2 separate regions of the Mus musculus genome follow, and region 2 is reported to be linked to region 1. The links are microRNA targets in miRTarBase. Many come from high-throughput screens and were not tested one by one. Region 1 holds a microRNA gene; the other region holds the end of a gene's coding sequence.
Evidence for each region. The annotated mature microRNA mmu-miR-802-5p reads UCAGUAACAAAGAUUCAUCCUU and lies in region 1 at 2,660-2,681, opposite strand. An mRNA with a match to its seed (bases 2 to 7 or 8) in the 3' UTR can be bound and repressed. Matches are read on the target gene's strand: a 7mer-m8 pairs with bases 2 to 8, a 7mer-A1 pairs with bases 2 to 7 and ends in A, and an 8mer does both.

Region 1 (4,572 bases):
CCTGGGTGACAGCCCGCAGAGCTTCAAGAAAGCAAACATCTGTGGTTTAAACCCATAGTGTTTTGTAATACAGCTAGAGCTGACTAAGGCGTGAGACGGAAAGATGTCGCCGCCGTGGTAACGCCTGGGATTTGTGAATCCATGGTTTCCAGATGAGTAACTGCAAAGGTGTTGTGGCTGAGAGGCCGGAATGAGCTTCCTGTTAGAACACAGAGCAAAGGCTGCTGGGTTTGGTGGTCCAGCGGTGATGGTCACTTTCCTGCTGCTATGAGAAAACACCTGACCGACTAAGGCAACTTCGGCCTGGAAGGGTTTCTCCTGCTCAGGGTCTGAGGTGCAGACTGTGACAGTGGGGAAGCCATGGAGCAGGCACACCAGGTCGCTGCTCACAGTGCACCTGGCGTCAGGATGCAGAGGGGACTGAAGTCTGGCTCTCAGCTCACCCTCTCCTTTTCACACAGCCTGCGACCCTGGCTCCCATTGGGGTGGACCTTCCCTGTTCATGCAAAGCATTCAGGAAACACATTATAGACACAGCCAGGGATGTGTTTTGTGGTGATTCTAAATCCTGTCTGGCTGACAGTGCAGTTACCCGTCACCACACAGCGCCCATGTTGACCGATGAGTGCAAAGCCAGACCTTGGCCAAGCTCACAAGCTACTTTAGGGATGTGATTTGGCTTCTGCTGTTGTCCTAATAACTCTGTTTGTTGTATAGAATCTACCACAAAACGGCACCAGCCTCCAGTGTTTGTATTCAGACAGAGAGCAGGAGAACTAGGCCACTGGGAATGGAGACTCTGGGGTGTCCCAGATCCATCTGTCCAGCCTAGCGTTCAGCACAGGTGTATAGTATACGCAACAGAGAGGTAGTGAAAGGTTTTAAACAACCATGGAACACTGGCCGAAGGCATTATTCTCAGTGGATTTAGAGAGAGAGTGCCATGTGGTACAGTTCAAGCATGGCCTTGAAGAGGACGTATTTGGAATGGTGAGGCAGCCCAGGTGACTGCATGCGGTCTCTTCAGCAGCATTTGCTCTGACTGCGATGATGTGAACGACCTAAGATGGGTCTCAGATTTACCTGGTTCCCTGCGGAGAAGAGGCAAAGAACTCGGCCTCAAGTACTCACGTGTGTGTGCATGCATTTGTATGTACGTGTGTGCATGTGTGTGCATGCATGCACGCATGCATGTGTGGGGTGTGTGTGTGTGTGTGTGTGTGTGTGTGTGCTTGCGTCTATTCCCAGTCACAGTAATCTACATTGTCCTCAAGATTAAACATTGGTGTGGTCTGGAGAAATAGGTTAAGTGGAAACTGTGCTTGCCACTCAAGCATGCAGGCTTTAGTGCAGATCCCCTGAACTTGTCCATGCCATGATAACCCCCCCCTATAATTCTAGTTCCCAGAAAGAAAAGACAGAGTCCTTGGAGCAAGCTGGATAGCCCTACTGATTAGCCCTGTGGTCAATGGAGAGACCCTGCCTTGAAGAATAAGGTAAAGAGAGGTCAAAGGAGACTCCCACACCAGCACTGGCCTCCACACACGTGTGCTCCCATGTGTACACACACCTGCACACCTGTGTGCATGCACACACAAATGAACATGTTTATATATACACAGAGACTCGGATAGTATGCACACTCGGATAGTAAGCAACAGTACGCGTCAGAAAGAGCTTGGGGTGGAGGGATGCGGACACTCACTCTCTTAAACACTTAGGACTCTGTCAGCTAAAAATGGTGTGCCGGGATGAGGAGTTAAAGTCATACTTGCAAATAAGTACACAATGAATCCTCTTTAATAAAATGGTATATTTGTCACGAAGCACAGAGCCCAAGTTGGAATAAATTGTAAAGTTGTCCCAGGCTACGGTTGCCTGCCTCAGAAGGAAATCTCAGTGAGGGAGCGCTCAGCCCAGACTGGCCTTGGACATGTCTGTGGGGGATTGTCTTAATTCTTGACTGGCACAACAACTGTATACGGGACACCACTCCTCGGACCTTCAAGCCTGTGTTCAGTGCTGTCTTTTTGAAGTCTGAGCCTATTACCTTTCTCTGACAGGTTCCTGACTGAATAGGTAGCGTGGTTTGCAGTAGGCCCTTGTAGAGGCTACAGTGTCAGTGCATGAGTACTCATATGTGCATGTTAGTGTGTGGACAGGCAAGCGTACGTGTGTGCACACATGCATTTGTGCATGTGGAGGTTAGAGGTCAACCTTGGGTATTATTCCTCAGGCTCTGTCCACTGCCTTTGAGATGGGGTCTTCGCTGGTCTAGAGCTTGCTGATTTAGCAAGGCTGGTCAGTCAGCCCCCAGGGATCTGTCCCCTCTCTCTCCAGTGCTTGGATCACATGTATGTCTTTTAATGTGGGTTCCAGGGACAGAGCTCAGGGCCTCAATGAGCACTTGCTGACTGGGCTCCCTGCCCAGCCTCCCCAAACACACTCAGCTTACCTCACCTCCACCGCCCCTGCCACCTCCCCCTTGCAGCTGGAGTTCCATTGGCTTACTATGTCAGAAGGCAGCGCTTATCCACGAGAAACGCCCTCCGAGGACACCCCAGGCACGTGCGAACAGCGTCCTCTCATCTTCCCTTTCGAGGTGAAGGCTATTAATTACACTGAGTGACAAAGACTCTCCGTGTTGTATGATTGACACAAGGATGAATCTTTGTTACTGATTGCAAATAATAGGACCGCAGTCGGTAGGTTATGTAGAGTCAGGTGGGGAGCCTGTGCTCACAACCAGGCCGTGGGCAGGCAGTATCCTCTTCCGTCTCTGCCTGAGCTAGCGGCTGCGGGAGACAGAGCAGGCATTATCTTGCCACATTCCTTCCCTAGAAAACAGCCTCTGTCCTACTTTGCTTGTTCGCTCCTGGCACGGGGACAACCTGTCTCTTTACATTAGTTTAGATCTGTAAAGAAACAGTCATTTAGAAGGAAAATAGTCGGAAAATTCGGGCAACGATCCATCTTTAAAGTCGTAGCTGAATGATTGCTTTCTTATTGTGTGACTCCAGGGCTGCAAAAATCCCCCGTGTCTGTACACATGTTTCTCTTTTCCTATCTTGGATTTGGGTTTTCCTTTTGCTTAAAACACAGGTATGTGCCAGAATGAGAACTGTTAAAAAGGGAAGGTTTTCAAGGACTCCTAAAAATAGGACCTGCTGCCAACCACACAGCCCCCCAGTATGTAAATGGTCAAAAGTGGAGCAATGGAAAGCATATGTTACCGACATTCCCCTTAGAAAAAACAAGAGTCTGAGCTTGGCCTCCCGGCCCTGGCACCCTTGAACCTGTGGTTTCCATTTAAGCCTTATCCCAAGTCTGCAGCAATCATTCTCGGCATAGCTGACTTCTATCTTTTAATCGAGGCTGTAAAAAGCTACCAGGAATAGTTTTATTCTCCAAATGGGAACGAGTTATTTCATCACATCAGGCTGGGATTTGACACAAACCTTTCAAATAATTATCAAGGCTCAAAGGGGATCAAACACACGCAGCGCCCAGGCCTAGGTGGCTGCCTTGTAGGCCCAGGGCAAAGGAGTGGGCTGGGAAGGTAGTCCAGGGCGGATGAAGTAAGAAGCTATTTTTTGTTTGCCTTCGGTGGCAATGAGGAGTCACCCCGTCTTCTTCCTGGAAATAGAGCTCAGAGTGTACATACATTCATTAAAGTCAAAGTGCTCAACGGTAGTGAGGTTTTGCTAGGAACTCCTTCTGTGGCTATCCTAGGATGGACTGTGTCCTCTAGTCTTACAATTTCGAAAAGGCATCCTATGAAAAACCCACAAGAGAGTTAGCCTCTCCAATGCTTCCTTTTGTTTTCTGAAGAAAAGCTTTTCTGACTAGCAGGACTTATATTACTCATCTTGTTGACAAAGGTCCACAAACCTGCCTAGAGAGTGCATCCTCGGAGTGGAGCGCTCCTGTGGGGCTGAAGTCCTGTCCCTTGTCCCCTGGAGACCTCTCCTCCTTCCAGCAGGCTGTGGAACAGAGCTGGTCCCCCAGAGAGATGTCTAATCTTTCAGCTGTGGAGCTATCTTGCTTTCCCAGTTCTGGTTAAATTTTGTCTTCCGTATCTTGGTATTTCCATGATAGGCCATGGAAAAAGAAACTTGGAGAATGTTTCCCCTTTGCTGTTAAAAGTTGTGACCTTTGCTCACATTTGCCAGAGAAAGTGCTTATAGCACCAATTAACATGAATTATTAACTCCCGGATTAATAATTGATTAGCAAGCTAAAGGCCCGGGGCACCTGCCACATCACACTATCGAGAGAGGAACCTACGAAACAATTTAGATACAATTAGAACAGTTCAGGCAGGGCTTGGCTTAAGTAATGACATTTTGGCTTTTTAAAGGATTGCTTATTTCTCCTCTACTGTCATGTGGCCGGAGAGTCAAAAGTCACAAATAATTCATAGACTGACTCATGTGGATGTTGCCTTTAAAATTTTCCTTTTACAAGTATCTCTGTACCTCTTTCACTGTATTAACCTCTGTCTGAAAGGGCTCATATGGATTCTGCTTCATGATTATCACTGGAACTAGTGTGTGTATGCACATGTGTGTG
Region 2 (4,000 bases), not on the chromosome of region 1:
AGCCCACATACACATGGAAGCTGAAAAACACTCTACTCAATGATAACTTTGTCAGGGAAGAAATAAAGAAAGAAATTAAAAACTTTTTAGAGTATAATGAAAATTAAGCAACAACATATCCAAACTTATAGGACACATTGAAAGCAGTCCTCAGAGAAAAACTCATAGCTCTGAGTGCCTCCAAGAAGAAACTGGGGAGAGCATACACTAACAGCTTGACAGCACAGCTAAAAGCTCTAGAACAAAAGGAAGCAAATTCACCCAAGAGGAGTTGATGGCAGGAAATAATCAAACTCAGGGCTGAAATCAACCAAGTGGAAACAAAAAAGAACTATACAAAGAATCAACCAAACCAGGAACTGGTTCTTTGAGAAAATCAACAAAATATATAAACCCTTAGACAGACTAACTAGAGGGCACAGGAACATTATCCTAACTAATAAAATCAGAAATGAAAAGGGAGACATAACATAACCTGAGGAAATCCAAGACATCATCAGATCCTTCTACAAAAGTCTACACTCAGCAAAACTGGAAAACCTGGAAAACCTGGATGGACATTTTCTAGACAGATACCAAGTACCAAAGTTAAATCAGGACCAGATTAAGAATCAAAACAGTCCCATATCCCCTAAAGAAATTCAAATACTCATTAATATTCTCCCAACCAAAAGAAAGCCCAGGACCAGATGGTTTTAGTGCAGAATTCTATCATAACTTTAAAAATGACCTAATACCAATATTTCTCAAATGATTCCACAAAATAGAAACAGAAGGTACTCTATCCAATTCATTCTATGAAGCCAAAATTACTCTGATACCTAAATCACACAAATATCCAACACAGAAAGAGAACTTCAGATCAACTTCCCTTATGAATATCGATGCAAAAATACTCAATAAAATTCTCACACGCCGAATCCAAGAACCCATCAAAATGACCATCCATCAAGGTCAAGTAGGCTTCATCCCAGCAATGTAGGAATAGTTCAATATATGAAAATCCATCAAGATAATTCACTACATAAACAAAACTCAAAGACAAACTACATGATCATCTCATTAGATGCTGTGAAAGCATTTGACAAAATCCAGCACCTCTTCATTATAAAAGTCTTGGAAAGATCAGGAATTCACAGCCCCTACCTAGACAGAATGAAAGCAATATACAGCAAACAAGTAGCCAACATCAAACTAAATGGAGAGAAACTTGAAGTAATCCCACTAAAATCAGGGACTAGACAAGGCTGCCCACTTTCTACCTACCTATTCAATATAGTACTAGAAGTCCTGGCCAGAGCAATTAGAAAACAAAAAGAGATCAAGAGGATATAAATTGGAAAGGAAGAAGTCAAAATATCACTATTTGCAGATGATATAATAGTATATATAAGTGATCCTAAATATTCCATCAGGGAACTCCTAAACCTGATAAACAGCTTCAGTGCAGTAGCTGGATATAAAATTAACTCAAAGAAATAAGTGGCCTTCTTCTACACAAAGATAAGGCTGAGAAAGAATTTAGGAAAACAACATCCTTCACAGTAGTCACAAATAATATAAAATACCTTGGTGTGACTTTAAATAAGGAAGTGAAAAATCTGTATGATAAGAACTTCAAGAATCAGAAGAAAGAAATTGAAGAAGATCTCAGAAGTTGAAAAGATCTCCTATGTTCATTGATTGGCAGGATTAATATAGTCAAAATGGCTATTTGCTGAAAGCAATCTACAGATTCAATGCAATCCCCATCAAAATTCCAACTCAATTTTTCACAGAGTTAGAAAGGGCAATCTGCAAATTCATCTGGAATAACAAAAAACCTAGGATAGCAAAAACTATTCTCAACAATAAGAGAACCTCTGGTGGAATCACCATGCCTGCCCTTAAGCTGTAGTACAACCATGCTACTATCTTGAGTTTAGCCAGTCTAAATCCCAGTAAGGCTCTTTGTTCCTTAAAATTGCTTCATTCTTTATCTGACTCAAAGTAAGATGAGTTCTGTATCAGTCACTTCTCATTGCTGTGATAAAACATCACAAATCTACCTTTAAAACAAAGAGTTTATTTTGGCTTATGATTTCAGAGGGATTGTAGCCTCTCATGTCATGGAGGTATGATAGCAAGCAGCAGGTACAGTGACTAGAGCAGGAAGCTAAGATTTCATATCTTTAAAGAACAATGAAGAGTATGAACTGGAAGAAGGGTGAGGTTTTTAAATCTCAAAGGTCATTCCAGTGATGTATTTCCTCCTCCAAGGATATTCCTGCCCAATCTTCCCTAAGCAGCATTATCAACAGGAAACCAAATGTCTTATTGCCTTATTGTTCTATCTGAGAATGGACACTTCATATTCAAACCACTACAAATTGATTTTGTTTTTTACAAATACTTTGAATTTTATTAAGCCAAATTTTTTTTCAGCAAGAGTCTTGGCTTAAACTCTCTCTCTGTCTCTGTCTCTGTCTCTGTCTCTGTCTCCTCCCCCCCACCCCCTGCCTCCATATATAGTTTGAGGTGGAGGCTTGGTGGCAAATACCCCTTTCGATTGAACTATCTGCCTGCTCTCACTTTAAAAGTTTTACTCTGATTCTGAAAGTTAACAGTCATGTTATTTTATTCATGTTATAGTTTAATTTTAATTGTAAATTTATAACTTTATTATAATTTATTATAAAATTATAGTTATACTTTTAAATATGTTATCATTTTATTCATGTGTTCTGAGGACACATGAAAAAAATGACCACTGAGTCAGAGGCATCCTGAGTATAAGAAAGTAGTCTTTGAGAATATCTTCTACTGCATCCAGCTCTGATTTATTTTCATTTATTTCTTATTTTACTTTATTTTGTCTATTATTGTCAGTAGTCTACTCTACCTTTTGGTTCAATGCAGGGTTGCACACATGCTAGGCAATCATTGTACAGCTGAGGAACAACTACATCTTTACAAAGAACCTTTGAAATAACTGGCTTTCTCAAATAGTTGCTTTGAAGAAAGATTTTCATGAACGACTTTGAGTTGCTAGGGAAAATGGGTCCAACAAGCTTTGCAATGTGATTTTTAATAACCCGACTAAGTTTGTCAGTGCTCTAAACAAAATTATCAAATGTGTGACAGGGCTAAACAAAGGAGAGACTGAAAACAGAAGATGACACATGAGAAAGATGTCTAATCCTAGAAACTCATGTCTAAAATAATAAAAAATTGAAAACTCCTAGATATAGACCTATGCAGACATCTTGAACATAGAAAAGATAACTTTTTCAATGTGTCCCAACCAGAATGCATATTTTCAGTTCTAAATACCTCCAACATTGAAGGATAAATTCAGTAGAATTGAATGCTGTTTCAGGAATAGGAAAACTTTAAACCCATTTGAAGATATGTAGGAAACACAACTCCCCTTGATTGAGTTAAAAGAGAAAATGCCATGTGAAAATGAAGGAAGCTTTAAAGTTCAGTGTGTGCGTCACCGTAGATGTCTAATCTGAGAAAATCTGAAGTAGTACCTTAATGTTCTGAAACTGCTATCAGTAATTGTTTTTTATTATGAGTAAAAAATAATTGTTGAGGTCCTTAAAGATGAGGATTCCTACTATATCTCTCATGATTCAAAGAAAGTGAAGTGTACATTCCATTCATGGCCTTGCACAGGCCAGTTGAAAACTCATTACAGCTTAGTTTTCAGTTCTCCATCGTTCTCGACCTTAGGACTTCTGCACACATCTGTGCACTCGCTTTCCTTCTCTGTGAGCTTCATCTCTGCAAGTTCAGTGTCTGGAGAGTGGATGTCGCCAGGGAAATGGAATTTCCTCATAAGGATTAGAATGAAGACTGCGGGGAGAAAGCTTGATCCTCTCACTGCTGCAGGCAACCCCAGGTAAATGTGCCTATTGAAAAGAACTAATCTGTATTACATTTTAATGTTTTTAGTGAAAGCTAATTTTGTATATTCTTACAGATCCTTTATTCTTTGAAAAAAATCTAGGGATTA

Region 2: the mRNA of Slco1a1 is a reported target of mmu-miR-802-5p. Seed matches in the 3' UTR shown: 7mer-A1 at 3,537-3,543.

What each region holds. Positions count from the first base shown.
Region 1 is chr16:93,367,846-93,372,417 of GRCm38, reverse strand. Mir802 (microRNA 802) reads right to left here and starts at 2,698; the gene lies at 2,602-2,698.
Region 2 is chr6:141,905,235-141,909,234 of GRCm38, forward strand. Slco1a1 (solute carrier organic anion transporter family, member 1a1) reads right to left here. Exons shown (of 14, transcript NM_013797.5): 14 at 2,047-3,896. The coding sequence ends at 3,677. Gm30843 (a long non-coding RNA gene) reads left to right here. Exons shown (of 4, transcript XR_378120.4): 3 at 3,718-3,886. Among named protein-coding and RNA genes, the nearest start is that of Gm30843, 31 kb to the left of the region's middle.